Linked DNA regions of Arabidopsis thaliana. The protein of the gene in region 1 interacts with the protein of each later gene in a biochemical or structural test. Each region holds a gene or a part of one and is shown in the gene's direction. Other genes may lie near its edges. The genes, in order: RCN1, CHIP, BZR1 and PHOT2.

Region 1 (8,846 bases):
AGGCAAAGAGCGGATGCAATAACTTTTTCAAAATTCGGTAAAAACCTGAACTGTGAATCTGTGATTGCAATTTTTTTACAATGGTGTTGTTGTTCAAATGGTGACAGCAAAACATGAATTAATAGACTGAAACGATTTTTTTTCATCTTACCACAAAACAATTATACACTATTATACATCACATAATAAATGTTATAATTATAAAAAAAACATGAGTGATACTATTTTTTAAACTCTACTCTTCAATTGATAGTTATTTTTGCTTGATTTTTTTTTAGCAAAACAATGATTTAATAAAATAAAAAAATTGTGATATGCCTAATATTGGTAAGAAAGAAAAAATATCGTACTTTTCAATGTCCTTAAAAATACAAATTTTTATGATTTGACTACTTCCAAATTTCTTTAAATGAGTTCAAATTCAAATATTTAAAATTTCGTAAGAAACAATATACATATAGAACAAGAAACATCTTTTATGGACGGCCAAATCATGTTGTTTTTTGCTCTACAAATGAAAATCATATACTATTACTAATTAAATTATATGTTGTCTTATAGCTTCGGAATCTTTCTAAACATGATTCACCCCTTTTCATTACAGGACCCCACTATAATTAAGGTTTCTTCTAAAGTGGGATCCATCTGATCGAACCATCTCATCTCACTCTCAGTTTATGAAATCGTGATCTTTTGGAAGAAGAAATCAACGCAAATGGCTGACCAAACTAGAGAAGCCTTTCTCTCTCGAAAAGCTTGCTCAGATTTCGGATTCAATGATTCAAACATCATCGATGACCGTCGTTCCAAGTTCCGGTGTTTCCGATTTTGCTCCGACGGGATCACTGCTTCCTGGAAAGCTTTATACGACATCGGTGCTAAATTATACGAGATGGGTCGTTCCGATCGTCGGAAAGTTTACTTCTCCGTTAAGATGGGGATGGCTCTCGCACTCTGTTCTTTCGTCATCTACCTTAAAGAACCACTCCGTGACGCTAGCAAGTATGCTGTTTGGGCGATCCTTACTGTTGTCGTCGTCTTTGAGTATAGTATAGGTACTGTGACTCACGAATTCTATAGATTCAGATCGATTCTGGGGTTGTTGTTGTTCGATCAAATCTTCCGGATTTTGATTAAAAATCAAAACTTTCGTCTTCTTCGATCTAAATTCTCATTAGATCTGTCTTAGGATTACTTGTCTTCAGAGATCTAATTTGGCTCTAACTCTGTTTTTTGAAGGAGCAACATTGGTCAAAGGATTTAATAGAGCTATAGGAACACTCTCTGCTGGAGGACTTGCTCTTGGCATAGCTAGACTCTCTGTTTCAGCTGGAGAATTTGAAGAACTCATTATCATTATCAGTATTTTCATTGCAGGTTGCACTATTTCTCTCAATTTTTATTAGAAATGAACCTTTTTTAAATAAACATACTAACTTTATTTTTGATACTTGTGAATCTGTTGGTTTGTCTATCAGGTTTTTCTGCAAGTTATTTGAAACTATACCCGGCGATGAAGTCGTATGAATATGCATTCAGGGTGTTTTTGTTGACATACTGTATTGTTCTTGTGTCTGGAAACAACTCTAGAGATTTTTTTAGCACTGCTTATTATAGGTTTTTGCTTATCCTGGTTGGTGCTGGTATCTGTTTGGGTGTGAACATATTTATACTTCCCATTTGGGCTGGAGAAGACCTCCATAAACTAGTTGTTAAGAATTTCAAAAGTGTGGCCAATTCACTTGAAGGTAGAGAGATACGTCAAATGGCTGTTTTCTCTTGTTTCGTTTCGGGTTTTGGCTGTTTTTTTATGTCTTGTTTTGTTTGTGCTTTCCTAAAACTTTCAGGATGTGTTAATGGGTACTTGCAATGTGTTGAATACGAGAGGATTCCTTCGAAGATTCTCACTTACCAAGCTTCGGATGATCCATTATACAGTGGATACAGGTCTGTAGTCCAATCTACGAGCCAAGAAGATTCTCTGGTGTGTTTTCCTTAGGACACTTTTGTTGAGCAGCAACTAGATAACTTGAAAAGGATTTAGATGATAAGATACGATGACCTCTTTTTTCCTCAGCTTGATTTTGCAGTATGGGAGCCTCCACATGGACCATATAAGACTTTCCACCATCCATGGGCAAACTACGTCAAACTTAGTGGCGCAGTAAGGCACTGCGCTTTCATGGTCATGGCAATGCATGGCTGCATTCTTTCGGAAATTCAGGTAACTTACCATATTCTTGTTAAATACAACTTTATCTATCATAGCAAATGAGGTGCTATAATGGTTATTAGAGACTATACCAACCTGCTTCAAATGCTACTAGTACCTCTTCGTGATTAACTAGACTGTTACTCTGAGAAGTCGGATATTTGTCATATAATTGTTGAGTAGGTGCAAAGTGGGATCTCCTAGTTTACTGTTGTTACTAGTGAATGGTTTTCTTTGAGTTCAATGCTTGTCGTATGCCCTATAAGACTTGTGATATCAATTGGTGTGGGATTTGCAGGCAGCTCCAGAAAAAAGGCAGGCTTTTCGTCAAGAACTTCAAAGAGTTGGAAACGAAGGAGCCAAAGTCTTGAGGTTGTTTGGAGAAAAGGTGGAGAAAATGGAGAAGCTAAGCCCAGGGAACGTTCTCAAGGATGTTCAAAGAGCAGCAGAGGAACTACAGATGAAAATAGACAGTAACTCCTTCCTACTTGTCAACTCAGAAAGCTGGGCTGCTATGAAAGAGAAAGCCGAAGCTGAAGAAGCGCAACAAAACTATCACGAAGCCAAAGACGACGAGTCTAAAGTGATTCAATCCCTCAGCCAGATATGGGACAATAACAACAACCCTCATCATCAGAATCAACACGCTGGTAATGATTCTCAGCTATGGATATCAACAGAGAGTATGATGCTTAGGAACCGCGAAAACTGGCCAAGCGTCTCTTTCATAGGCGGTTCTATGATCAATGAGATAGAATCCAAAGTATATGAAAGTGCGAGTTCTTTGTCGCTAGCTACATTTGCGTCTCTTTTGATCGAGTTTGTTGCAAGGCTCCAAAATATTGTTAACGCGTATGAGGAACTAAGCACTAAAGCCGATTTCAAAGAACAAGTTAGCGAGACACGGATATAGAAAAAGCTGGACTCTGGACCAGACTCAGTAGCTGCTTCAGCTCCAGGGATATAGTTGATTTTGTATAGAAAATTATATACATTATTGCTTTGTTTGTTTGCTGTCTTGAAATAAGTTCCTAATTCCTTTTTGTTTTGTTTTGGCAAAGTCATAAACTCAATTGGAAAGTTTTGTTTTTCTTTCATTGTATCAATTGAATCAACTGTTTAATTTTTTAAAGCAAAAAATTGATTAAAGCCCAACATAACCCAATCCTAAGAAAGCCCAAAATGGCCCAATTAGACACTTTCGTCATTTTATATCTTTCCCTTTAATAAATCCTTCGTAAAAAAAAATCAAACGCAGAATATTATTTTTCTCGCTCGCGAATTCCTCTTTCTCACCTTTTCTCGCTCCTGGGAATCTGAAGCAGTTCTTCTCCGACGCCTGGATCGGTAAGTTGATTTCCAGTTTCTTCTTAACGAATCATAAGATCTCATCTCTAAACCTTCATTTTCCGATTCACATTCCCTTTAATCCAACTTCGAACCGGTGAATCTGAACCCATTTCTCGCTTCTTCTGTTTTATTCATACCCGATTCGTTTCAAAATCTGCAGTATAGTCTTAATCTGTTTGTGCAAGTAGAGAAAAATCAATAAAGCCGAAGATAACACTCGAGTGGCTATAATTGTTTTTTCCCAGGATCTGTAAATGATTTCTCGTATTTATTACTAAATATTTTATTCGAGATCCGAAAATATCTATTGTTTCGTCTCTTATAGCAATGAGCTCATAGGAATTATTTTTGGTGTTGCAGTGATTTGATTCGAACTTTCACATAAGATGGCTATGGTAGATGAACCGTTGTATCCCATTGCTGTGCTTATAGATGAGCTTAAGAATGATGATATTCAGCTTCGTTTGAACTCGATCCGTCGCTTATCTACTATAGCTCGTGCTCTTGGAGAGGAGCGTACAAGGAAGGAGTTAATCCCTTTTTTGAGTGAGAATAGTGACGATGACGATGAGGTGCTTCTTGCAATGGCTGAGGAGTTAGGAGTTTTTATTCCGTTTGTTGGAGGAATTGAGTTTGCGCATGTTCTTCTTCCTCCTTTGGAATCTCTATGTACTGTTGAAGAGACTTGTGTGAGAGAAAAAGCTGTGGAATCGCTTTGTAAGATTGGATCTCAGATGAAAGAGAATGATCTTGTTGAATCTTTTGTTCCTCTTGTGAAGGTTAGTTTAGGAGATTTATGTAGCACTAGATTACGCCGTTTTGTTAGTTGGTTCAATCAAAGCTTTTTTTTTTGTTTTGTTGTTTGTCTTGTAGAGGTTAGCGGGTGGTGAATGGTTTGCAGCAAGAGTTTCTGCATGTGGTATATTTCATGTTGCATACCAAGGTTGCACTGATGTGTTGAAGACTGAGTTACGGGCTACTTATAGCCAGTTGTGCAAAGATGATATGCCAATGGTGCGAAGAGCTGCTGCATCTAACCTGGGGAAATTTGCTACAACTGTCGAGTCTACCTTTTTGATTGCTGAGATCATGACTATGTTCGATGATCTTACTAAAGATGGTACTTAATGTTTGAATATATCGTACTTTATATGTGCTCATCACTTAGAAATAGTTTGCATAGACCCAAGAGTATGGTAAAGAGATCACATTTGAATTAATAAACGCTGTTTGATGAAATATATTGGATACTTACCTCTTCAGAAATGTTTGTTTTATCTGTGCTTATATTGGTTAAACTTTAACCTTCATTTCAGACCAAGATTCTGTGAGACTATTGGCTGTTGAAGGGTGTGCAGCTCTTGGAAAGTTGTTGGAACCTCAGGATTGTGTTGCACGCATTTTACCTGTTATTGTTAATTTCTCTCAGGTGAATTGAGCTTTGTTTTTTTCATTCATGGATTTTTCAGTTAATTGTCTGCTGTTCCATGTTTAATTTTCATCGGTAAAAGCTTGCTGTTCTGATGTTTTTCTATGGTGTTTGTATTGATTTCTGAGAGCAGGATAAATCTTGGAGGGTGCGCTACATGGTTGCTAATCAGCTATATGAACTTTGTGAGGCAGTGGGTCCTGATTGCACGAGGTATGTGTTTTGTGACATTGTTGATTTTTTTGTCATCCTTGCTAATCTAGGCTTTCGTTCTCGTAAAACAGTTTTGTGACCTTCAAACAAATATGCATCTAAGAGCGTCTATTGGAAGTTTTCTTTATTCTTTTTCGTTCATATAAGAGCCTTCCATGGTAGTTCTATGTTTGTACATGTATCTTTTTATTTTGACACAATTTATGTTATAATATCTCTAGGACGGATTTGGTTCCAGCATATGTGAGATTGCTAAGGGACAATGAGGCTGAAGTGCGAATAGCAGCAGCGGGAAAAGTGACCAAGTTCTGTCGGCTTTTGAATCCAGAGCTTGCGATTCAGCACATCCTTCCTTGTGTGAAGGTAAGACTCCTTAAATTCTATATAAACGAGTTGTTTGATGTCCCCTGTCTCGTAATATTCTGATACATACTGATGTCTGGCAGGAATTATCATCGGATTCTTCTCAACATGTCCGCTCTGCTCTAGCTTCAGTAATAATGGGGATGGCTCCTATCCTTGGGAAGGTATGAACTGAAGATAGCCAACATTTTCGCATCTTGTGACAATGTTCTGAGATTTAATTTGTTTTATGGTTTTCATCAACAAAATCAGCCATACCTTGTGTTATGGCGTGGTTATACCAGCCCCAACTGGTGTTGCAGACCTTATCAAAAAATTATTAACATACTAAAATCTTTCAATACAGGACTCAACCATTGAGCATCTGTTACCAATTTTTCTTTCCCTTTTGAAAGATGAATTTCCTGATGTGCGCCTTAACATCATAAGCAAGTTAGATCAAGTCAACCAGGTTTGTTGCATCTCTCTTGTGTGCTTTAGATACTACTTTTATTGCTTCCTTATTTAGTTGGTGACTGAATTATCTTTTACGGCAGGTTATTGGAATTGATCTACTATCTCAATCCTTGTTACCGGCCATTGTAGAACTTGCTGAGGATCGGCACTGGAGAGTCCGACTTGCAATAATAGAGTATGTTCCACTGTTGGCCAGCCAGTTAGGTATAGGATTTTTCGATGACAAGCTCGGAGCCCTTTGCATGCAATGGCTGCAAGACAAGGTTTACCTTGAATCTTTGATGTTTGCATAAATTTCTCATTCACTTGTTATTGTAGATATTGACACTGTTCTCCTCCTTCAGGTCTACTCTATCCGCGAAGCTGCAGCAAACAACCTAAAGCGCCTCGCAGAGGAGTTTGGTCCTGAATGGGCAATGCAGCACTTAGTTCCCCAGGTATTCTTTGAGCATTTTATACTAAAACCATCTGTCTGTTTATCTTATTGTTGATCTATGTCAAGTACCTCACCTATAACATCTAATCTCCAGCTTTGGTCCCTTTTCTTTGGATATCACTAAAGCTGCAAATATTGAGATCTCCAGATTGACCTTTATCATATAAACAGGTATTGGACATGGTCAACAATCCGCACTACCTACACAGGATGATGGTTCTACGCGCAATATCTCTCATGGCGCCTGTAATGGGATCAGAAATCACATGCTCTAAGTTTCTTCCTGTGGTTGTTGAAGCATCAAAAGACAGGTACAATAGATAGATTAGAGGATATGAATAAGCCAAACTAGTTTAAGAACACTTCTTAGTTTTTAATGTGTTGTTGTTGCACACCTCTTATCTCTGCAGAGTTCCAAACATCAAGTTCAACGTTGCCAAACTTCTGCAATCCCTCATCCCCATAGTCGACCAATCAGTACGATCATAACAAACATAACTCAGTTATATCGAAAACTAATGGAAATTGTTGAATTTTAATGTTTTTGCCGTGTCAAAAATTTGTAGGTGGTGGACAAAACAATCCGTCAGTGTTTGGTGGACCTGAGCGAAGACCCTGATGTTGATGTTCGTTATTTTGCAAATCAAGCACTTAATTCCATCGATGGTTCCACAGCAGCACAATCCTGAATTGTTTTTTTTTCATATGTATGATCGTTAAGTTAAGTTTCTATTATTCGTGTTCTCTGCAATTTATTTGGTTTGTTTGTGTAAAACGCCATTTTGGTTGCTGGCTATGAACTGCAACTATTTTTGTTAGTAAAATTGTATTACCTTTTTTACACTTTCTGTTGTTCCAAACCTTATACATTCTTCTTAGTTTACTAATGCTAACACTACTCCCTTAGTGAAACTATTTGAGATAGAGTGAAATGCGTGTGGCTATGTTTGGTCTTCTGACTAGTTCTTGTTTCAAACTTTATCCAACCCCTCTAGATCAACTTTGTTCTATTCAATTGATTTTGTTTTTCTAATAAACACAAAAATCAATACATTAGATTTTGATACAAACGCCCACAGCCTCCTATTCATGATTCAACAAATAGAAAGCATAAATCATTTGACAAAATAATTTTAGCCACAAGGGTTAGCCCGCTTTTAGCACCCTCTAATAGCATAATATTCTACAGTTATATCTCCTATTTTCCAAGAGGAGGCATAGGCTAATCAAGCGGTCGTCAAAACTTCACGGGCTCGCGAGCTACGATGTTGGAGACGACGGTGAAGCACCTCAGACATCTCAGTGTAGAAATCAGCATCCCATCTCTGAATCAACAAAGGATCTTCAGCAAAACATATGTATATCGATGTCACAGCGCTTTCGACTACCACCATTCCTAAACCCACCTGAACACCACATTGGATCAATGAAACAAAGTGAACAAGTTGGTCATGTAATTTTTTGGGTGACTAAAAGAGTGCACAAAAGAAAACTCACAAGAACCATTCCCATCAACATAGCCGTAGATGCAACCATTATAACTCGGTCACTGTACTTGATCCAAGCCCATATACCAATGCAAGAGCCTGTGATGAGTCCTCCAAAGATGGTTCCCATCAGAAGTACAGCACCAGAGCAGTCATATGCAACAAGTGCCTCTACACCTGTCGACTGAAACAATTCCCATGCGTCTCTTGCTGATTTGTTGAATCCTTTTCCATACACTGCAATCTGATAATTAACCAAACGTTTTTTTCATTCTGAGTCTCATTGCTCATAGGAGGGAGATGATGAGCTTGTTTAAAAACTGTCTATATTTATATATATACCTGGACGTATGCATACTTGTTAAAAAAACGAACTAGTGTTTCAACTAGATGAAACAGGAAATCAACGCAGCAAAGTAAACATTCGTTTCCACAAATCTTGGACCGGAATCCCCTTATCTGCAAAAGAAAGTTGCAGACTAATGTTATTAACAAGAGGAGCAATGATAATGTTTTACGAACAGCAAAGGATGCTGGAGACTACCTCCCAGCGAAGTGTTCTAATGGCAGCAGTGAAGAGTGAACCGTAACATATGCTCCCAAAAGATGTTGTCACGGCATACCTAAGTGAGTCTACCAAAGAGCTAGGAGGCAACGATGATGACTCTTCTTGACCACAGTGAAAGAGAACATGAAACACCATCCCAGAAACTATAACATGGACAGTGTTACATAGCACAGCGCCTGTCCAGAATAAGCTAACCGAAAGAACCTGCATATATATTATATGTTCCAATGATTGAGTGAATTCTAAACATGTTTACTTTCAGACACTTAAAGCAGAAAACAGAAACCGTGAGTAAAAATGCAAAACTTGCCAGCTCACCACAAGAAGCCACC
Region 2 (7,506 bases), on another chromosome or scaffold:
GGATTAGCATCATGTGTTAACTCTCTTGAAATGTACTGGCACAAATGTTTGAAACTAATCAAATCAATTTTTTTATCATCTACTTTAAATTGTCTAAATATGATAGAAGAGTGCATCCAAATTCAATTAATAAGATAATTATATTTTTCTTTGACCAAATTAAAAAGGATAAATAAATATTGTTTGACTGCATTAAAATTTCTACAACTTGGATTGATAAGATTCGTTTTATTGAATATGGTAGATAGATATCCTCTTATTATTAAAAGAGAAGTACAAATTGAATTTTTGTCTAATTTAGCCTCAATTTTGATTTCAATTTTGAATTTTGTTCTTCCTTATCAAGGGTAAAATCGTCCAAACCAAATAATTAAATTAAACAGGATCCGCGTTTTACATAGACGGGTGAGTTATGTTTAATGGGCTTTTGATCACATGTAAAACTACATAATGGGTTACCATCAAGTAATGCAATCTTAGCCATAACACGATTAGTTGTATATCTCAACAATTTTTAGTATCTAATACACGCATATTCCATCAAAATAGTCTGCATATTTAATTACGATTTTAAGAATCTTCAATCATATATTCACCCTCCTCACTAATCACTATAAAATCGGCATAGACGAGTTTATTCGATTCTTCTAACTACCATAACACGATAATACATTCCATAAATTAGAAAAAAATCTTATAAATTTATTCTCTTAAATTTAAAACTAACCATAATCAACTAAACAATATTTACCACTTATCTAAATATAGCCAATCATTATGAACTAAACCAAATTCGAATCATTAGTGAGGATCCAATCTTTGATTTGCAACTTATCCTGCAAGATATTTTCGAATATTTTTGAAAATATTAGATCCAACAACCCTAGCCTCCTTCATCACTATAAATATCAAAGTCATTCTCATCACAAACCAAATTGAGATCAAGAACGATTCGATGGTTATTATCATAATCAATTCATGATAGTGAATGATTGTTTGCATAAGTATTCATGACGAAGTGGATGTTCTTCGTTGATGTTGATGAGTTTTTACATGTTCCGGTGAAAGAGACGATTTCGTCTGTGATGGAATCTTTGGAGGAATATTTTCAGTTTACTATTGAACTGATGCCTATGAGTAGTCAGGTTTGTTATTCCGGTGATGGCCCGGCCAGAACTTACAGGTAACATTCATAACTTTGTTGATTTTAATGATTGAACGTTAACCAAAGCCCATGTGTTGTTTATTGAGTGACTTAGAATATTAGTCACAAGTTTTTTGAAGGTGACATATAATATCAATAAGCATCTGATTCTGTCAACACTTGGCCTGTAAAAGTCTTTGTGCATTCTGTATTAGTCTCCTATGTCGGTCACGATCTTTGCTTTTATTGAACATCACATGATATTAGTGAGAAATGTTGTAAAGATTATTTCTTTTGTTTGTACCAAATATTGAATTGTAATTGGTTTGTATATTTTCTGTTTTTAGGAGGGAACATATCGGTTATTGATTTGGTTTAGTTCAGGGACTAATCTAAATGGTATTTTGGTTTTGTGTTTCAGAAAATGGGGAATTGAGAAACTGGCATATAGAGACGTCAAGAAGGTTCCAAGACGGGATCGGAAATACGCGGTCCAGCCGGAGAATGTATTCGCGATAGGCGTACACATGTCTCAGAATCTACAAGGGAAGACATAGCACAAGGCTGAGAGCAAAATCCGTTACTTCCATTACCATGGTTCGATCTCTCAGCGCCGCGAGCACGCACTCCTTATGTGCTAGACACTACAATCCGTGATGTTGGCCTTGCTGTGAGAACGTTCGAGTTGAGAACGATTGGTGATCGGCTGCTACGGACAAGACAATGAAGAGATGAAAAACATGAATAGTGAATCTAATCAATCTTTAGAAAGAAGAATTAGGTGTTAAGATGATTTACTTTGCATTGTTTTCTTTTGGGGGTATATTCTTTTATTGTATCATATAATTTGGGTAATGGGATCATTAATACAGCTTCAAAATACTCTTTAGTATAAATATTCTGTATGATTTAGAAAAAAGGTCTCCTCATAAATGTTATTATCTTTGTTTTGCCAAAAATAAAAGATAAAACATACCAACTTTGGTTTTTAAAGATCTTATAATCAACAAAATAATTACACCATCTATCATTATATTATATTTTTGTCACCATTTTACTTATATCAAATACACATTTAGTAATTGATACACAACTTTAAACACAATAAAATACATGATTCTAATCAGTAAATAGTCTCCATACTAATAAAAGATTCCAATCATTATTTATACCAGTTTTAAAAAAACTAAATATATGTTACTATTTTTTAATATAACACACACTAATTTATTTAATAAAAAATTTATAAAAGCCTTCGCGCGACGGGAAACCGCGGGTTTAATCCTAGTTGTATAAATAATTTACAATTAACCCAATGACCGGTTTATGGTAGTAAACAAAAAGAATGACTATAAGATCCGGATTATGATCCAAGTCTCATCGAGCTGACCCGGTAAAGAGACTAATCTCTTTCGATAACCGATTCATTTAAAATTCCCTTTTGCTTACTTTTCTCTCTCCTTTCATCGAGAAATTTCGCGGCTACTTCTCTTCTGAAACGCACCGGGACGCGCCGTCGCACAAGTTACAGAGGAGTGTTGGAAAGGATAAAGACTTGGTTTTCTGGGGTGCCGTAGATATGGTTACAGGCGTGGCTTCCGCCATGGCGGAGCGGTTAAAGGAAGACGGAAACAATTGCTTTAAGAAAGAACGTTTTGGTGCTGCCATTGATGCTTATACCGAGGTACATGGTTCTCACTCTCCTTCTCTCAATTTCATCGTTAGGGTTTTGTGTTTTCCGAGATTTTGATTGAGATCTGCGTAGAGTAATAAACCCTTGATTATAATTTCGAAATTGGACAATTCGTTTGTGAATCAGAACTTAATTGCATCCAAATTAGGTTTTGATGGAGTGTACAATTCGAGAATAGACATTTGATGGAATTTATGAATCTTTTATGTGCTCATCGTTATAAGTCATCAAGAAACTTCAGGCTTATTCAATTGTAGTGGTTTTTCTTATCATTTTTTTTTTGTGTAATTGAGTAGGCAATAGCTTTGTCTCCAAATGTTCCTGCTTATTGGACCAATCGAGCACTTTGCCACATGAAGCGAAAGTGAGTATTGTTCTGTCAAGCAAATTTTATACATACTTCTGATTAGGCAATCCTAATGCCCAAATACTTTATGGTTCATGTTTGGCTTCTTTGCTTGCATCAAATTTAGGGATTGGACTAAGGTTGAAGAGGATTGTCGCAAAGCTATTCAGCTTGTCCACAATTCCGTCAAGGTTTGACTCTTTTGATTATATCTAAATGGAATTCTTTTGCTTGGTGTGCTATGTATGGAATATGTCAAGTTTTTTGTTTTGTTTTATCTTTTCTTGGCCTTCTTTGATCCTTTCTTCTCCATCATATGAGGATTTTACAATTATGTTCTGTGGCAGGCACACTACATGCTAGGACTTGCATTATTGCAGAAGAAAGAATTTACTAATGGAGTCAAAGAATTGCAAAGGGTAAGGATCTTTGTTAGTCCTAAGCTTTTTTCTGTAAAATTTATCAGTGGACATGATTGTTTAAGTCGTAACGTTGAGACCTAAGTAGTGTAGTTTCCAAGCATCTTAATGAAGATGTGAGGCACCACTTGAATCTCCATCTTTTTCCTTTTGAAAGATGTCTAAGTGGATACTGTGGACACTTGTTTTAGTTAGAAAAATCACTAGAGATGGGTTGGTTTGTTTATGCCATCAAATACTGCAAACAAATTTTGGTTTGATACCTGTTTCCTGTTAACTTCATGTAGCTACGTTTCATATAGGCTTTAGATCTTGGAAGATGCTCGAATCCAACAGGATATATGGTAGAAGAAATATGGGAAGAGCTTTCTAAAGCAAAATACATGGAGTGGGAACTGGTTTCTGCAATGCGGTCATGGGAACTGAATAGTTTGAAGTAGGTTCTGTAACTTTCTTAATCCAGTGCTATCATTCGACTTGGAACTGTGCTTTTGTGGCTTTATGGAACTATTCATGTTTGTGTTAGGGAAACTTGTGAGGCTGCTCTTAATCAACAACGTGCTTTAGATATGTCTCGAACAGAAGAGTCCTCAGACGAAGCATATACTGCCCATACTGAGCGTTTGAAAGCTCTTGAACGAGTGTTTAAGAAAGCTGCAGAAGAAGATAAACCAACTGAGGTGCATTAAATTTTCTTTAAAAGCTTTTAAGACCCATCGTTCATTTATATTTGAGGTCAAATACATTTCTGGTTTTTCTTTTCAGGTGCCAGATTATTTATGTTGCAATATAACTCTTGAGATTTTCCGAGATCCTGTAATTTCTCCAAGTGGGGTTACATATGAAAGAGCAGCAATCCTTGAACATCTCAAGAAGGTTTGCATTATCATCGCTCTTTTCTTGTAGCCTTAATCTCTATAAAAAATATTCCTCATTCCTGTTAAGGTTTGATCGTTTACACCACTTGATAGGTGGGGAAGTTTGATCCTATAACTCGTGAAAAAATCGACCCGGCTAATCTCGTTCCAAATCTGGCTATCAAAGAGGCAGTGGCAGCATATCTAGAAAAACACGTCTGGGCTTACAAGATGGGTTGTTGATCGAAATGGGGATTAACATAAACACAATGAAGCGGATGAGAAATTGAGGTTAACTACTCAGGTGACCGAACAAAACAGATGGGTGCGTTTACCTTTTTTCACATTTGTGTTTGTTGTTGCCGATGTTTTCAGTGTAAGATTCTCTGCCCTGTGTATATATTACAATGTTTTTTTGTGCACTCTGTACACATTGGCCATATGGCTTAGCCTATATAACACACATACAGAATTTATTTACTATTGAGGAAAGCCCAATAACATACATACAGATATTGTTTATCATTGAGAAAAGCCCAATAACAGACAGATTTAGATGCAGTTCTCTGACGTCAACAAGATTGATGAATTGTATCTCATTAGGATGTAGTCCAAGGCATGCTTAAGTATTTTTTGAAACCTTCTTGGACCACTCCGGTTCTGTGCCATGAAAAAAATCTGGATTGTGTGATTAATCATCTAAAATAAAACTGAAAGCCTGAAAATTCAATATAAAAACAAAAAGTTGTCATGCAATAGTGTAGAAAAACAATGATTTAGTTGAATGTTCATCAAAGTTGAAAGAAAGCAAAAGACATGGGCCATCATAAGGTATTCAAAGTATTGAATGAATTCTGCCTAATAAGGCGTAAATCTTGGGGTCTTTTAAATAGAAATAAAACTACTATTTTCTTTATCTATATGATTTCCACTGGGGACACATAAAAGGTAAACCCACCATTGTGGTTGTGGATTATTACGATTCTTTTTCTTCCTTTATGGGATTTATTTCTTTTTTTGTATCCAATGAATTGTAAACGTTACTTCTTGGGGATAAAAAGTTAAAAAGAAAGCATCAAATTCTTTCTTTTCTTGGCTTTTCTGTGAAAGTTTGGTGAGGAATAACACCAAAGAGTGGTTTAGGACGAATCCATATTCTATCCTCTCTATTAAATATTCCATTTTTTCAACTTTCTCACGATATGTTGACCTGTAATTATTACGAATCACGAGTTTTAGCAATTTCGTGATTCAATTCTAACTTCCAAGCAATCCAACCAACCAAATACATGTGATTTTTATCATTACTTACATGCTTCTTGCCTTGTCTAGAACATTTTTTAGAAATATATTACAAAACTACTCCGTTATGTTTTCTAACAAAACTTATAATTCATCAGTGATAGTCGAAATTTATTTATAAGCTTTGATGAGTATTTATTTATATATAAATAAACTTAAAAGTACTGTTTTTTTCTAACACGACAATAGGAATCACATCGTCACGTTACATTACATAGAGAAAAAATCACATCAATGGAAAACTCGTGACTCTGTAATAAACTCTTTTTCCAGAGAGAGTGGAATTAGATTGATTTGCTTTGTGGTTTATCAGTGATGTGAGGAACACGACATGACAGCCTTTCTATGTATTTTTAATAATCTACTTATTTATACACAGAAACAGACGAAAAGCTACACACTGTTACTTGTTGACCAAGGCTTTCACAGCTGAATAAAGCCACCAACATTGATTTTATTGATTGATTTCTCCAGAAACATCAAACGCAAAAACTATTCACACAGATTTCTACTTACATCTCACATACGAAAACCAATAACCATTCAGATCCTAAAGATATGAATAATTTACAAAAATTCTTACAGCCAAATAAAGTAAAAAAAAGAAACAAGATTTTAGGTAATTTACATTGCAGATTTCAAGGCTTTTCTCAGGCTGTATGAGTGAGATTCATAGCTTTTCTCAGTCTGTCCAATATCCCGTTTGCTTTCCTCTGCGCCCTTGAAGTTCCTTCACGCGAAAGCTTTGTTATCGTTCCATGAGCATTCTCCTCTTCTTTGATCTCCTTCCACTTTGTCCTGTCGCTGAAACATATAGTATGCAGTATCACTATCGCATTCTCTTTGTTTCGCTTGCACTCGCTCTCTCGAGTTATCTTCAGCAACCATGAAACCCCACCGAGCTCACCCAATTCCTCCACAGCCTTCCAGTGAGTAACAAGCATTGCCAATATAGCTAAAAGCTCATCAACGTACAACCCATTCGAGATTTTCTTACCTAAAACCCTAACAGCTCCGTCTCTCACAGCTCTACTCCTGTTCTCATGGGCTATACAAAGAGTGAAGATCGCTGCAGCTACGTCTTTGATAGCTAATGGATTCCCTTCTTCTAGGAGATCGATAAGCGGTTTCAGGATTCCGGACTTCCCTATAAGTACTTTGTTTGAATCGAGAGCTGACAGAGTGAAGATCGCTGCAGCTGCATTGCTTCTCGTGGCGACTGTTCCACGCCTCAATGCATCGATAAGGAGAGGAATCACATTAGGATTTTCGCAGACGAGCTTCTTGTTGCTGTCATCATGTATTGATATGTTCAACAATGTTGTAACCACATCTTCTTGAAGCTTCTCATCTGGGTTTGACCCGTGTAACAAGGGATTCACCAACCTGGTGATCTCATCCGGAGATTCGCCAAAAAGAGCTCGGAACTCAGTGCCTTTCCTGGTCAGAAGTCTTAGCTCCTTGGCAGCTGATTTTTGATCTTGAAGGTTCGAAGAAGAGACTTTACAGAGCAAGGAATTGAAAATCTCACGATCTGATCTTGTCACAGTTTCATCTTCATTTACAAGGTTGGGATGATATTGGCTCTTCGTCTCAAGCCCGTTCTTCTTGCACCATTTCGAGATCATTTCACGGATTAAGAGATTAGGTGTTAAAGCCGTGTGAGGCAGAACTTGCTGAGTCTTGGGACATGTTCTGTTCCCTGAGCTCAACCATTTCTGGATAAATAACTTGTCGTATGTCTG
Region 3 (7,743 bases), about 19 Mb from region 1:
CTATACGAAAAAGAGATCAATGAATCACCTGTTGTAAAAAACAAAACACTCTCTTCCACAATAATCAGTAACATAAGATTGTTTCTTTTGAACTCACGAGGTTAAAATGTCGCCAATATCTCAGTAATGCAGCCATATCCAACTTGGTAAGATCAACCTTCTGCGTTAAAACAATATTCCCAAATCAGTAACACATAGCATTAACATGAAAACCCCCACCAAGTAGAAGAAATTTGAGGCCTTACCATGTTCAGACGAGGAGTAATACTCGAGATTTTTGAGTGTGAGTCACAAGAAACTTCCCTGTACAAAGCCTTTTGAGATAACCGCGATGATCTGTGTCCTCTCTTCTTCGACTTATGAGGCTTCAAAGTGTCCTCAGTTGCTGCAAAAGACAATCAAAGAACGGTCTTTATGAAACATTTCAAAAAGACTAAAATTTGGTACTTTATTGCAGAGACAAGGAACCAAACTTACTCATATCGGAGGGATGATTCCACTGTGTAGAATGGTCGACTTCAAGATCATTGTCTTCTTCGTTCCCTGTAGGATGTTCAAGAACACTAAGCGCATTCCTCTGCAACTTCACTTCAATTCCATTAGTCAAAACCTGAAAATTTAAAGCAAAAAGGACAAAGATTAAAAATTGAACTCCACAAACAAAGTAAAGTTTGGGACTTTTTGAGAAATGGGAATGGTTGGAGACAAGAAGTGGTGGAATTTGATATCGATATTAGTAAAAAAAAAAATGATGCTTTGGGTTATGAGGAAATCGTATAAGATACTGATTTTTATTGTATAGCTAGAGAAATGATCAAAAAAGGATCAAAGAAAGTAAAATTGATAATATAAAAACTAGGAAGCCTAATGAAACGGAGAACATCTATAAAAAGTTTAACATTTTTCAGTGGATGAAAATGACCAATCTGAAAAAGAAAGAACAAAAACCCTAAATATTATTAATTAAAGTATATCAAAATTAGTGACTACAAGTAAAACAAATCTAAAAGCCAGCTTGAACCCACAAAGATAAGGATTCTCAAGGAATTGATTGAGAAAAAGTAACACAAAAGTTAAAAATAAATATAAAAAGTGCAGATCGTTATGATGCAATTTAACAAAATAAAGTTATGATATTTTAAGAACAATCAATCTAATCGGTAACATAGAACAACCATTGATTTTATTGCATTATTGAGCTAATGATTCTGGATCTTTTGTTAATCAGTTTTTAAAAATCTACTCTACTGGGGGAATAAAAACACAGACAGACACAAAGATGCAAAAAAGACAAAACGAGGTAAAGAAGAAAGCGAAGTTGATCTTTGCTCACCAGCCAATGCCAACCACCGAGTCCGACGGCTTTCTTAACGACGCCTTGAAGACCGACGAGAACAGATTTGGTACGGTTGTTTCCAGTAACGACAACTTTGGTATGACGTGGCAACACTGACAATTCTTCTTCGCTACTGCAATCGCCGAAGCAACTCTGTAGCTGAGAGAATCCTCCTCCTCCTCCATTGAGGATGCTTGACTTGTTCACCGGAGCTTCCAGCATTTTGTGTTTTCTCTCTCTCTCGTTTTTTCCCTCTCTATTATCAGAAAGTACCACAAGCTTTTTTACGATCTCGGAAATGGAAGTTGGTGCATTTTGTGAAGGATTGAGAAATGGAGTAAGAGAGAAATCGAGCTGAGAAATTAGGGTTTGTTTTTGGTCTGATGAAGAAAGACAGAGTAAGAGTGAGAGAAGAAAGAGGAAAAAGCAGAGTGTATTATGATGAGTAAGAGAGAGAAAGATAGAGATACAGAGGAGGGAAGGGAAGGGACGATAGGCGATAGCGACCGCCTTCCTATCGTGACCAATAAGGTATCAACACGTGTGTTTTGTACTTGTATCATTTGCACTGTGGAAATTGAGCGGTTTTTTCATGGATGGGTACCAAAACCTTTTTTTGTTTTTTACCGAGAGCTTTTTTACTTTTTACTCTCTAATAAAGATGAATTCATTTGTTGGAAAACTTGTATTACTTTTTACTCTTTATTCACTGTATTACTTGTCTTGTCTTGGTTGTGAAGATTTAGATTTTGTAAAAACGAAATTGAAACAAAAAAGAAAGGAGTGGATACGTTTGGTTAATTTGTATGAAACATTTTGGGTACTAATTTGTATTGGAATCTGAGATTGATGCTTTTAGAGGGTTTTAAAATGATCAAAAAAGGAAAACGAGGGCCACACTTCGTAAATTTTGTGTAATGTCTACACGCGATCGACGTGAATATGAATGGTTGACTGGGTTTTTTCAAAATAAAAAAAAAGTCAGGAGTTATGGGGCCCATGCATGCGTAAGTTACGATTATACCCCTATTGTTTATTTGTTTTCGTTCCTCTCCAATGTAATTTGAATTTGAAATCACGCCTCTATTAAATATGTCATCGTATAATGTCCATATTGAACATTTAACTAAACTAAAACAATGTTCATGGAGTGATTCTTAAGCCAACATTTTTTCTTGTTCAAGACATAGCATTTTGTAAGTTTGATGGTTTAAAGTAATGTACTTATTGTCCAAAACGAGTTAGCTAGGTAACATGGAGTTAATCGGAAAAACAGAACATATTTCCAAAAAAAACATACTTAACACATAATCTACTTATTATCACAAGTAGGTTACTAGTGCCAAACCAAAGAAGAAAACCCCTAAATTCCTTTTAATGCTAGAAACGAAAGCTGGTATTAAGATTTAACTGATGATTTAAAACGTATCACCAATAATTAACACATAATCGCTCGATTAGCAACAAAGTCGTTGTAGTATAGTGGTAAGTATTCCCGCCTGTCACGCGGGTGACCCGGGTTCGATCCCCGGCAACGGCGATTACTTTAGTTTTGCCTAATTCATCGAACCCTCTGATTCATTCCAAATGTTTCCCAACTCGCGTTGATGGTTCGGGTTCCTCTGCTTTTAAGACATTAGTTACATGCTCCTGCACTTTCTACAAAATAAACGTCATAATCCAAAAATATTACATGATCATACATCATATATGCCGCCGAACCTTGTTATGGGACAAACTCGTAAACCCCTTTTTCCTTTTATGTTCAATGAACTATACAAGTTTTGGTTATGAATACATAAATAATGATGGACCCAGCAATTAATCCAAAATTTGGATATTAGATACTAAAGCTTAAAATCAACATGTAACCAAACTAAATACTTTATAGAACATAGTAAATGGTATTCACCAATCTTTATATCATTTGTAAGGTACGAAGAAGGTAAAAAAAAGAGAGAGCCAGTGTACATACAACTAATCAGGACAAAAGTAGTCAAAATTGTTTCTAAAGTGAGATTTGTATGCAAGAAAAAAGTGATAATTTTTAATTGAATATATCATTATGATGTTAATCACACGGCTTCACTGTATAAAATAAAATTTTAAAAACCAATCAAATGGTGTGTTTTTCGGTCACACAAGTAAGGGACCCACACTGAAGAAACGGTCCCACTGTGTCTCCTCCTTTCTTTTCTCTGTATTATTTGGTCATTACTCATTTTACATACTCACAGAAAAAAAAAAAGATTAGAACATAAACACACGTTACTAAGCGTAGTTATCCTCTGCACCTTAACATACACCTCTTATATTCACCTCACGTAATCTCACCCTTCCAAAACCATGTATTTACACGTGGACGATCGATACACAAGAACAATGATTCTTAATATGAACTCAATGTACTTGAACACACACACGACCCAATTTTTACATTAGATGAAAAAAATATTATTATTTGTTGGAGAAGAAAGAGAGATTCTTCTTCTTCGATTCCAGCGAAGGAAAAGCGTATTCCTCGTGAGCACTAACTTCTCACTCCTCTCTTCTTCTTCTTCATCAGTCTACGTTCACACAATCTTTCACCCACCTATTCAAAGCTCTCTCCGGAAGTTTCGAGGGGTTGGTTGTTGGTTTTCCCGATGACTTCGGATGGAGCTACGTCGACATCAGCAGCTGCAGCTGCGGCGGCGGCAGCAGCGGCGAGGAGGAAGCCGTCGTGGAGAGAAAGGGAGAATAATCGGAGGAGAGAAAGACGGAGAAGAGCTGTAGCTGCGAAGATATACACTGGGCTTAGAGCTCAAGGTGATTATAATTTGCCTAAACATTGTGATAATAATGAAGTCCTTAAAGCTCTTTGTGTTGAAGCTGGTTGGGTTGTTGAAGAAGATGGTACTACTTATCGCAAGGTGAAGACTTTCTCCATTTTTTCCAGATCTGAGCTTGTTTTATTGATGTTTTTGATGTTTGAATCTGAATTCGTTGATTTCAATTGTGGTTAAATGGGTTTGAATCTGAGAATTTGAGGGTTTTCTCAAAGTGAATTTGAATCATCAGAAACTATGGATGGATCTGATTTCTCAAAGTGAATTTATGGGTTTTCTTTCTAATTTTAGAGTTATTATTGGTATGCTAAAGTCTTAATCTTTTATGTATGATACTTGGTCCAAAGTCATTGCATTGTGTTTCTTTTGCTTACCTGTGATTGATTGATGTTTGATTGGTTATTGTTTTGCTTTTGTTGGAGTATCAGGGATGCAAGCCTTTACCTGGTGAGATAGCTGGGACTTCATCTCGAGTAACTCCATATTCATCACAGAACCAGAGCCCTCTTTCATCAGCCTTTCAAAGTCCCATCCCATCTTACCAAGTTAGCCCGTCTTCTTCATCATTCCCGAGTCCTTCTCGCGGTGAACCAAATAACAACATGTCCTCTACATTCTTCCCTTTCCTCAGAAATGGTGGCATTCCTTCTTCTCTTCCTTCCCTCAGAATCTCAAACAGTTGTCCAGTTACCCCACCGGTCTCATCGCCGACTTCTAAGAACCCGAAACCGTTGCCTAACTGGGAATCTATCGCTAAGCAATCCATGGCCATTGCTAAACAATCAATGGCGTCTTTTAATTATCCTTTCTATGCGGTTTCTGCACCTGCTAGTCCGACACATCGCCACCAGTTTCATACCCCGGCTACTATACCTGAATGTGATGAGTCTGACTCTTCCACTGTTGATTCTGGTCATTGGATAAGCTTTCAGAAGTTTGCACAACAACAGCCATTCTCTGCCTCTATGGTGCCAACCTCTCCTACCTTCAATCTTGTGAAACCTGCGCCTCAGCAGATGTCTCCAAATACTGCTGCCTTCCAAGAGATTGGTCAAAGCTCTGAGTTTAAATTTGAGAATAGCCAAGTTAAACCCTGGGAAGGAGAGAGGATACATGATGTGGGTATGGAGGATCTTGAGCTTACACTTGGAAATGGGAAGGCTCGTGGTTGACATAAACAACTAGGCAAACCCAAATGGCATGTCATTGGAATATGAGAAACTAATCCTCTTGAGTATTTTCTTCTTCGTCCAGGTATTTGGATCTTTATGGAATCTCATATGTTCTTCACTTATTATCCAAATATGCTGCCCAAAGCCTTCTCCATGGAAGCATTGGAGTGTTAGAGTGGTTATTCAATTCATGAATTTGGTTTCAAAAGCATTATTTGTAGATAAAAAAATCTTAAGATGTATGATTCTGTTTCCTTACATATGTTACATTAATTAGTGGCTTGAAACTGTCTTGTGTCTTGTCAAATTGCTTAGTCATATATCATTTCTTGAGCCGATTCTGTCTCTTAGCATCAAGATCCAAAATTTGCAAAAACATTTGCTTTTACAAAATGTTAAATTCTTTATTTCCCTGCAATCAATCTTTTGGTCAAACACTAACACATCATCAAATATCTAGTTAGACAAAGCTAGCTAGGATAGTAGCATAATCAATGAACACAGCTAGCTACAAATGGTACATTCCATAACGAATACAAACACTGGTCACTCATCTTCTTAATAGTCCAATCCCTGTTTCTGATCAAACAAGTAATGGAGAATGCAGATCCAGTTTGGTTTCAGTCTCATGGCTTTTTGTTTCTCTCTCAGTCTCAACATTACATTCTTGGTATCTGAAACAAGCTGTGAGATGATCATTAACAATGCCAGAGGCCTGCAAGAAGGAATACATAACAGTAGGACCAACGCAGCGAAACCCTCTCTGCATCATATCTTTGCTAATGTACTCTGCCTTTGGGGACTTAACCGGTACTTGACGACCATATCGATAGCCATTTCTTAATGGCTTGTGGTTCACAAATCTCCAACAATAATTACTGAACGATCCAAATTCCTGCTTGACCTGTTTTCAGATTACAACCAAAGCTATTTCAGTAAACACATAGTATCTACAATTTCATAGCAAAACACACAGTGCCTACCTTGAGAACAGATTTCGCGTTCTCTACAATTGCTCGCAGTTTCTGTTCGGATAGAATTAGACACCCATTAACTCTAAGAGACATCAACCTCTTCTCTGTGAATTGTGCTATAGCTGAAGGATCAAACTCTTCAAAGAGCTTCCTACAAAAAAGAAACCAAAACTTCTGATATCACACCAAACCAAAACACAAAATAGCAAATTCACCGTCCTAAGTTTACCTAAAGTCGTCTCTTCTGCGTAGGATTGAAGGCCAGCTAAACTCAGCCAAAGCTTGTGAGAAGACAAGTAGCTCGAAGAGTTTCTTGTCATCACGAACTGGAACACCCCATTCCTCGTCGTGGAACAAAACATAGATCGGGTCTGTTTGATCAATCACCATTATTATTATTAACTGAAAAACTTACATATCCAATGTCATCAATCATCTTCTACATTTTTTTTTGTCCTTATTTATCAACTACAATACCTAGTTTTTGCTAGGTGCAATTAATGTGTTGTTGACATCTATGAAAACTGATTGTAACCTTTATTAACTTTAACGTATTATCAAAACAAAATTACATTTCGAAAACCATAAAAAGCCATTCACATGGCATCAATTTATAAAGTCGATTGAGATATTTTATTGGGGCCAAAAACGAAGAAATTTGGTAAGTATCTTTTAATTCTTTGCAGATTCATTAAATGTTGTGACAAGGACAACAAGTCTCTACATAGTGTAAAACATTTTATTCCTAACAATAAAACCTAAAAACTAATATTTTGTTTTATTCTTTAAAAATATACTCCCTCGTTCCTTTTTGTTTGATTGTTTAGAAAAAAAAATTGTTTCAAAAAGATTAATTTTTTAGATTTTCAATACAATAGTTATTAGTTATAATTGATAAATTGTAAACTTCAACACAAATTAGTGAATATCATTGGTTTAAAGTTATTGAAAATTGTAAATCACAAAAAATAATACATTTAAATGCAACATTTATTATGTTTTCTTAATATTTGTGTATTTTCTAAAAGATCAAACAAAAAGTAACAGATGGATTATATACTTCCTCGTTATTCACGAAATTCAGAGGTAAAAAACAGAATTTTCTCTAAATAAATGAGAGAAAAAATGTGAATTTAAATTAAAGTTAAATGAGGCAAAGAGGGAAAAAAAAAGGTGTCAGACAAAGAGACCTGAATTAGGTGTGATCCAGTGGCATCTCTTGACCGGTCCCGGAATTTTAGGACTAATGTCTTCAACGACGGCGACGGAGGCAACGACATTATTGAGCTTCTCAACTCCGTTCCGTTTCGACGGAGTGGTTACTTTCCCAGAGTTTGTCGTGTTCACTGACGAACGTTCCGAGGATGAAGAAGAAGAAGAGGAATCATCAGTCGAAACTGAGAAATTGGAATCGGGCTTCTTCGTCGCCGGAG
Region 4 (7,329 bases), on another chromosome or scaffold:
CATGTATCCATGCTTGTTGTTGACGTCAAAGTTCAGTTCATCAAAAAGATCTTATCTAATGAGAAATGCTTTTTATAGAAGTGTACCTTAAAACCTTGAATTAAAAAAAACATTGTATTGTGTTAAGCACAAAAACTGTGGAGGGATACATAATTTGAAGAGCCTCTGATAGTATTAACTCATTCTTCGCTATTTTTCTTTCTCCTGGGCTCACTCAATGCCTTCTTAGCCTTTGCCCACTCTTTCAAAGAAGTCGAGCTTCTCATAAATGTGCAAGTATCCCCCGACCCAACCTTTCTCTTAATTATCTTCTTCTTCGCACCCAATTTAGCTCCTTCACTCACATTCTTACCATTCAGACGCTGCCGATTCTCATCTAAACTTCTCACAGGGGTACTATCCACAGGGACTCCCGCAGCCACAAAACCACCGCTGCTAGATGCGTAATCTGTTTGTTTCATTGCACTTGCAGTCTGGTTAGAGTTGGAGAACTGGTTTCCTACATTGTTGATCACTCCAGCTGCTTCGCCCTTGTCTGAAGTTAAATCTGGGAAGAGTTGAGTTATACTGAATGAAGAAGTATTTTTGTCGCTAACCAGCTGAGTCCACGAAGCCTTCTGAAGCCATGAAGAACCTCCTGTTGACTTGTTACTAGCTTTCAGCGGTCCTTTACCCGCCTCTTCTTCATCTACAACATTTTCCTTCACGACTAAGCTTTCCTTTTCTGCATTCAAATCCTCTGCTACATTTTCATGCTTCTCCACATTCGACTTGCCGTCCACACTATCGCCCTCTGTGTTTGCAACAAATTCCAGGGGGACAGCTTCAACACTTGTGTCACTAACAGTATCTGCAAGTGATCCTGAGTCGTCTGAACCTACATCGTCATTAGCTGTGTCATCGCACATAGAGTCAATAGCTGTGTCATCTTCCACATTATCACCATCATCGCTCTCAGCCATAGAGTTACTAACTGTGTCATCGGCCATAGAGTCAATAGCAGTGTCATTTTCCACAGCATCCCCATCATCACTCTCAGCCACAGAGTCACTAGCTGGGTCATCTGCCATAGAGTCAATAGCTGTGTCATCTTCCACAGCATCACTATCATCCCTCTCAGCCACAGAGTCACTAGCTGTGTCATCTGCCATAGATTCACAAGCTGTGTAATATTCCACAGCATCACTATCATCCCTCTCTATGTCATCTGCCATTGTGTCACTATCATCCCTCTTTATGTCATCTGATACAGGTAAATCCTCTGCCATGATTGTAGACGTTACACGCTTTCTTTTCGTCTTCTTCTTCAAATTTTCTCGGCTAGGAAGCCCAGCAAGATCAGTGTTGCGTGGTGCAGGTTGTACTGCTTTACTGGAGCCAACACCTGGCAAGAAACTGGATACACTAAAATCATTGCTGTTCCCATTTGCCATAAGTGATTTCCAGGAAGACTTTTGGGACCAGGAAATATTGTCGATTGACTGCTCAAGATCTTTTGTTCTGCTCGGTTCATCCGATGATTTATCTGGTACCACTTCAGAAGGCTTCTTCTTTCCACGTATGGCCTGTGAAGATTCCTGTCTTCCAGTTTCCTCTAGGCTGATTGTTTGCCTATTCTTGCTTGGATGAGTAAGGTTCCCTTTTCGTCCTTCACTATATCCTTCTTCACTTGGTGTTTTTTTGTTGAGAATTGATTTCTGAGTTACAATCAAAGAAAGAGCCAGATCAGGGATGAGGTAGATGACTCATTATTGGGTTAAGTATAATAGAAAAAATATAAGTAGCACTACGTACCCGTTTTCTAGACAACATATCCAGCGCTGAGTCCATATCATTGCCACTAGATGCCACATTGATGATGAGGTTATCTTGGTCTGCTTCAATCTCATTGTCTTCTTCGGGGTCCACATTGTTTTTCTCAAAGAGCTTATTCATCACCGAGTTCATAACATTCACCTCGGCTTCTTGTCTTCCCACATTAACCGCTTCCAGATCATGAAGATGTATTTCCCGAGGAGTGAGAGAGCTGTTAGAGTGCTCTTCACAATCACAAAAGCTCCTTGGAAGAGAAGACGACACTGGAACACGCTGAAAGCTATACTTATGTTTACCAGTTCCACTAAGTGGCATAGGTTTCACCTGCACCACACATACGTAGCTCAAACCCTAATCTCTTACTACTCCTAGTACTAACTATGTCATATAAATGTTACAACTTTGAAGGAGCATTAGTAGTACCTTTCTGAGTCTGGGAAAGAAGATGTTAAGGTGAGTGGCAGGTGGTGAATCGGAGGGAGCTTTAATGGTGTTATCAGAGGTAGAAGACGCTGCCTCCCACTCTCGCTTTAAGCGAGCTAGATAATGCTCTTTTGCTTTCTCCAGTCTCAGCCTCCCTCCTTTCCAGACACATCCATTATACTGCCAAAATCGAATTAGGGTTAAGAATAACAAGAGTAAGGAGAGAGAGAGAGAGAGAGAGAGAGAGAGAGAGAGAGAGAGAGAGAGAGAGAGAGAGAGAGAGAGAGAGAGAGAGAGAGATCGAATTCACTCACTGTAGAGAAGAGCTTGGTGAGTGAATTGGTGGAAGATGGAGAGAAATCGATGTAGGCAAAGGAACGACCTTTGGTCCTGACGAATTCGACGGCATCGACGGTACCCATCGGAGAGAATATCTTGAGAAGATCATCTCTCCCGACGCTTTCTCCTAATCCGCCGACGTGAAGCCTAACGCCGCCGCCGCTGCTTTTTTCCTCCATTGCTGCTTGCTTCAGTTGGATTCAGTTTTCCCTCGCCTCTCCCTCACTTTCCTTACTTCTTAATCTTAACTAATAAGGCCCATTAGAGAAGACCCACTAGGACTTAATGGGCTTTTAGCGGGAAAATAATAAGGCCTAACAAGTTTTTAGGGGTCCCTTCTCTTTAATTTCATCGACATTATTTGAAACAGACAGTGAAAGAAGAAACAAATTGTGGATTCGTCGTCTGCGAAAGCATCTGGGAGAGAAGAAGCCACAGTCATTTTCTTAAACGTGTTCATTTTTCGTCTAATCAAATCATGGCGCATGTTCTGTTCTACTACAATCGTAAGTTTACTGGGTTTTATCTATTTATTGTTTATTCATTTTACATTGAAACATGTCTGAATTATTGTACTGGAAAAATTGATGTGAGGGGTGTAATAAATTCGTTTGATTATGAAGAAAATTTGTGAAAGAAGAGGGAATGATGAACAAGAGTGCACGTATTAAGAGGAAACAGAGTTGTGTGGTCCTTGACCTTGAGGGTGAAAAAGGGTCCATGTGAGTTTGATTATTGATAGCGATGTCTATCCTCCCAGGCTTCCGCATCGCTCATTTGCAGCCTCAGAAACATGATTGTCTTTTTAAAATAACTCAAATAATAATATAACTGGGTTTTGGAAACAGTACAGTTGTGTTTTTTAATTGGTCTATCTCTCTATCTTTCTCATCGTCTTTGCTCCTTTTAAAGACTGTGTACTATATTTCCATGAGTTGCAGCTGATAAAGCTACTCTGGTTGGTATATATATATTTTTCATTTATTTTATCTACTTCACCTTCTTTAACGTGTTTTGTTGATTTGCTTCTAAAGACTTTTAATGGCATTTATTACTTTGTTTCTCGAACCTACAGTTGTGTCTGCCTCTTCTTTCTATCTAACTTGTCTATGTGGTGTCTGGTTTTGATTTGCAGACTATTCATTACTCTGTTTCGCCATAAGAAAGAGAATAAAGAAACGTTATGGAGAGGCCAAGAGCCCCTCCATCTCCTTTGAATGATGCGGAGTCATTAAGTGAACGTAGATCTCTTGAGATTTTCAACCCTTCGAGTGGAAAAGAGACACATGGATCAACTTCTTCTTCTTCAAAGCCTCCTCTTGATGGCAACAACAAAGGTAGTAGTAGTAAGTGGATGGAGTTTCAAGATTCCGCTAAGATTACAGAAAGAACCGCTGAATGGGGATTGTCAGCTGTTAAGCCGGATTCGGGAGACGATGGCATTAGTTTCAAGCTGTCCAGTGAAGTGGAACGAAGCAAGAACATGTCTAGGAGGTCATCCGAAGAATCTACATCTTCTGAATCAGGGGCCTTCCCTAGAGTATCCCAGGAGCTCAAAACTGCTCTATCCACGTTGCAGCAGACTTTTGTTGTCTCTGACGCTACACAGCCTCACTGTCCCATAGTCTATGCCAGCAGTGGATTCTTTACCATGACTGGTTATTCTTCCAAGGAAATTGTTGGAAGAAACTGGTACTGCTCATCTCGTATCTTGCTTCTAGTTTCATTCCCAGTTATTAGTTAGAATAATATTGCTTTTGAAACCCATGCCAACTTACTCTGAAATGCTCTTAATCTTTGTGGGTAAAACGCCAGCCGGTTTCTGCAAGGGCCAGACACCGACAAGAATGAGGTTGCCAAAATCAGAGATTGTGTCAAGAATGGAAAAAGTTACTGTGGAAGGCTGTTAAACTACAAAAAGGACGGAACTCCCTTCTGGAATCTTCTCACAGTCACTCCTATCAAGGACGACCAGGGCAATACCATCAAGTTCATTGGGTACGTCCCTTAATTCCTCCCTGTTTTTCCCTAATTAATCGACTGTCCCTCGATCAATCATTTTCACATTTCCATCTGCAGGATGCAGGTTGAAGTTAGCAAATACACAGAAGGGGTAAATGATAAAGCATTGAGGCCTAATGGACTCTCCAAATCCTTGATTCGATATGATGGTATCTGTTTTTTTGCATCTCTTCGTTAATTCAACAAGTTTTTTTTAGCCAAAAACAATGATATAATTTAGCAAAGAGTGCTGATCCACAATCTTTAACATGTAATGGTTTTGATGATGATATCAGCTCGCCAGAAGGAGAAAGCTTTGGATTCCATCACAGAGGTTGTGCAAACTATAAGACATCGTAAGTCTCAAGTTCAGGAATCCGTGAGCAATGACACTATGGTAAAGCCTGATAGTTCTACTACACCTACACCTGGTAGACAAACAAGACAGTCAGATGAGGCTTCAAAGTCTTTCAGGACACCTGGACGTGTTTCTACTCCAACGGGGTGAGTCTTCGTAACCACTAACCACCAGATTACAGTAGTCTTCCTGAACATAAAATAAGGCATATATATTGCCCAAAAAGTGTGATGGCAGTGCCAAAGTTTTGCAGAAACAACTTGCTATTATCATTGCCAAATAGTGGTAAAATATATACTACACAATCTCAATCTAGTTGTTGTGTTAGTCAATATTTAACTCATAGATAATTTCCATTCGAATACGAAGATGCAGTTGCAATCTCCTACTATTGTTCTGTTTCTTATTTCTCGTGTACTTTTGTAACTTTGTGCTGGGCCTTAGAATGTATCCTCTGACATGGATTGGGTAGTGAATTCTGAAGCTGTGTATATATATGTATACATATACACTCAAGGATTTCTGATCTAGCTTCGTGTAATGTGCAGGTCAAAGCTCAAAAGCTCGAATAACAGGCATGAAGATCTTTTACGTATGGAACCCGAAGAATTGATGTTGAGCACAGAAGTAATAGGGCAGAGGGACAGTTGGGACCTATCGGATAGAGAAAGGGATATACGCCAAGGGATTGATCTAGCTACCACTCTTGAGCGCATAGAGAAGAATTTCGTCATCAGTGATCCTCGTCTCCCTGATAATCCCATTGTATGTTTTTTCTGTCTAAAATTGAGATGAACGTTTTTTTCTCGAACCTTAATGTATCAATTGTAGAGTATATTTCATATATTGATTGTTCTTACTCAAGTGTTCTACTATGTTTGTAAGCATATAATCTTGAATTGATAATGGAAATCGTTTTATTTGCAGATCTTTGCATCAGACAGCTTTCTTGAATTGACAGAGTATTCACGCGAGGAAATATTGGGGAGAAATTGTCGGTATGTGAAAATTCTTCTTTTTGTATCTTCTACTCATGAGATTTATCATGCCTTTTAAGTTATGCAGTCTTCTCCGGCTGCGTTTTTGTTGTTTCGTGATATGGATATGTGCAAAGTGGTTGGCTTCAGGTTTCTTCAGGGGCCAGAGACAGATCAAGCGACTGTCCAGAAGATAAGAGACGCAATTAGAGATCAGAGGGAGATTACTGTGCAGTTGATAAACTACACTAAAAGCGGTAGTTATCAGATACTGAACATTTTAAAACGATCATACTGAAAAGTTTCTATGTGGTTGTGTCATTAAAACTCTAAACCATTGCAGGAAAGAAATTCTGGAACTTATTCCACTTGCAACCTATGCGTGATCAGAAGGTCTTCGTGAGATTATTGTTATATCTGGATTCCGATTCTTGAAGAAAACCGTGCATTGTTGCTGATTACATGACTTTATTCATCTATTAGGGAGAGCTTCAATACTTCATCGGTGTGCAGCTTGATGGAAGTGATCATGTAGAGCCCCTCCAAAATCGTTTGTCTGAGAGAACAGAGATGCAGAGTTCGAAATTGGTATGTGGTTCATATCCTACTGAGTTTTTTGAACATCTCTTTCCTATCAAAGGAGACTATGACATTGGTCACAATTTTAGGTGAAAGCTACGGCAACAAATGTAGATGAAGCTGTCAGAGAGCTTCCAGATGCTAATACGGTAAGGTGTACTAGTTCATTATTACTTAACAAAGATGGAAAAGTATAAATGCAATCGAATTGCAATGTATTTTAGCGGCCCGAAGACCTGTGGGCTGCACACTCGAAGCCTGTCTATCCTCTGCCTCACAATAAGGAGAGTACGTCCTGGAAAGCAATAAAAAAGGCATGCATCGAACCATGTTACTTTTTACTTGGTTTCTCATTCATCCTGTTCTTATTCTGACAGTCTCCTTTGTAGATCCAAGCGAGTGGAGAAACAGTGGGACTACATCATTTCAAACCAATAAAACCGTTGGGCTCTGGTGATACTGGCAGGTACAACATTGCATGTGTCCATAGCAATAAATTCATCTGTCCATGAATCGCCTTGTACTTCGTGTATACTTATATGGCGTTTTTTGGTTGGAAAAAGTGTCCATTTGGTTGAGCTGAAGGGCACGGGTGAACTATATGCCATGAAAGCAATGGAGAAAACAATGATGTTGAATCGTAACAAGGTATATGATGGAGAATGAGTTTCCTTTTAATAAGGAAAGCTGAAAAATTCAACATTTATATTATTTCTTTCGTTGACAACATGCAGCTTTATGCAGGCTCACCGAGCGTGCATCGAAAGGGAAATCATTTCCCTTCTGGATCATCCATTCCTTCCTACTCTCTACGCTTCTTTTCAGGTAGATGTTTTT

The links.
Region 2: of the proteins of RCN1 (region 1) and CHIP, one has a biochemical effect on the other in vitro, tested with the Arabidopsis thaliana proteins (one study listed by BioGRID).
Region 3: of the proteins of RCN1 (region 1) and BZR1, one has a biochemical effect on the other in vitro, tested with the Arabidopsis thaliana proteins (one study listed by BioGRID).
Region 4: the proteins of RCN1 (region 1) and PHOT2 form a complex in vitro, tested with the Arabidopsis thaliana proteins (one study listed by BioGRID).

Annotation. Positions count from the first base shown.
Region 1 is NC_003070.9:8,947,752-8,956,597, forward strand, and holds RCN1 (ARM repeat superfamily protein), read left to right. Parts: upstream 1-3,410; 5' UTR 3,411-3,559; intron 3,560-3,922; 5' UTR 3,923-3,948; coding exon 3,949-4,341; intron 4,342-4,435; coding exon 4,436-4,682; intron 4,683-4,878; coding exon 4,879-4,991; intron 4,992-5,124; coding exon 5,125-5,204; intron 5,205-5,425; coding exon 5,426-5,567; intron 5,568-5,650; coding exon 5,651-5,731; intron 5,732-5,913; coding exon 5,914-6,018; intron 6,019-6,103; coding exon 6,104-6,286; intron 6,287-6,367; coding exon 6,368-6,460; intron 6,461-6,630; coding exon 6,631-6,770; intron 6,771-6,869; coding exon 6,870-6,936; intron 6,937-7,025; coding exon 7,026-7,148; 3' UTR 7,149-7,409; downstream 7,410-8,846. Other genes in the region: AT1G25480 (aluminum activated malate transporter family protein), read left to right, coding at 716-1,055, 1,240-1,377, 1,479-1,748, 1,848-1,984, 2,078-2,224, 2,511-3,125; AT1G25500 (Plasma-membrane choline transporter family protein), read right to left, coding at 7,686-7,865, 7,957-8,190, 8,289-8,405, 8,491-8,718, 8,833-8,846. UniProt on the Arabidopsis thaliana protein: The A subunit of protein phosphatase 2A serves as a scaffolding molecule to coordinate the assembly of the catalytic subunit and a variable regulatory B subunit. Seems to act as a positive regulator of PP2A catalytic activity.
Region 2 is NC_003074.8:2,355,519-2,363,024, reverse strand, and holds CHIP (carboxyl terminus of HSC70-interacting protein), read left to right. Parts: upstream 1-2,475; 5' UTR 2,476-2,723; coding exon 2,724-2,828; intron 2,829-3,133; coding exon 3,134-3,201; intron 3,202-3,310; coding exon 3,311-3,374; intron 3,375-3,530; coding exon 3,531-3,602; intron 3,603-3,904; coding exon 3,905-4,038; intron 4,039-4,128; coding exon 4,129-4,282; intron 4,283-4,367; coding exon 4,368-4,478; intron 4,479-4,573; coding exon 4,574-4,702; 3' UTR 4,703-5,118; downstream 5,119-7,506. Other genes in the region: AT3G07380 (glycosyltransferase family protein (DUF23)), read left to right, coding at 1,011-1,183, 1,566-1,701; PUB9 (plant U-box 9), read right to left, coding at 6,412-7,503. UniProt on the Arabidopsis thaliana protein: Has E3 ubiquitin-protein ligase activity and may target misfolded substrates towards proteasomal degradation. Regulates the activity of some serine/threonine-protein phosphatases by E3 ubiquitin-protein ligase activity.
Region 3 is NC_003070.9:28,181,728-28,189,470, forward strand, and holds BZR1 (Brassinosteroid signaling positive regulator (BZR1) family protein), read left to right. Parts: upstream 1-3,776; 5' UTR 3,777-3,981; coding exon 3,982-4,248; intron 4,249-4,592; coding exon 4,593-5,336; 3' UTR 5,337-5,418; exon of another isoform or gene 5,419-5,683; intron 5,684-5,719; exon of another isoform or gene 5,720-5,919; coding exon of another isoform or gene 5,920-6,240; 3' UTR 6,241-6,319; downstream 6,320-7,743. Other genes in the region: AT1G75060 (histone deacetylase complex subunit), read right to left, coding at 98-160, 246-385, 478-610, 1,334-1,558; AT1G75090 (DNA glycosylase superfamily protein), read right to left, coding at 5,920-6,240, 6,320-6,461, 6,540-6,681, 7,501-7,743.
Region 4 is NC_003076.8:23,521,011-23,528,339, forward strand, and holds the start of PHOT2 (phototropin 2), read left to right. Parts: upstream 1-2,814; 5' UTR 2,815-3,083; intron 3,084-3,119; exon of another isoform or gene 3,120-3,200; 5' UTR 3,201-3,535; exon of another isoform or gene 3,536-3,712; 5' UTR 3,713-3,760; coding exon 3,761-4,269; intron 4,270-4,392; coding exon 4,393-4,575; intron 4,576-4,656; coding exon 4,657-4,748; intron 4,749-4,874; coding exon 4,875-5,082; intron 5,083-5,484; coding exon 5,485-5,701; intron 5,702-5,863; coding exon 5,864-5,934; intron 5,935-6,063; coding exon 6,064-6,170; intron 6,171-6,256; coding exon 6,257-6,306; intron 6,307-6,396; coding exon 6,397-6,501; intron 6,502-6,581; coding exon 6,582-6,641; intron 6,642-6,716; coding exon 6,717-6,806; intron 6,807-6,881; coding exon 6,882-6,958; intron 6,959-7,055; coding exon 7,056-7,140; intron 7,141-7,236; coding exon 7,237-7,317; intron 7,318-7,329. Other genes in the region: ROS3 (RNA-binding (RRM/RBD/RNP motifs) family protein), read right to left, coding at 180-1,697, 1,795-2,139, 2,239-2,418, 2,553-2,756. UniProt on the Arabidopsis thaliana protein: Protein kinase that acts as a blue light photoreceptor in a signal-transduction pathway for photo-induced movements.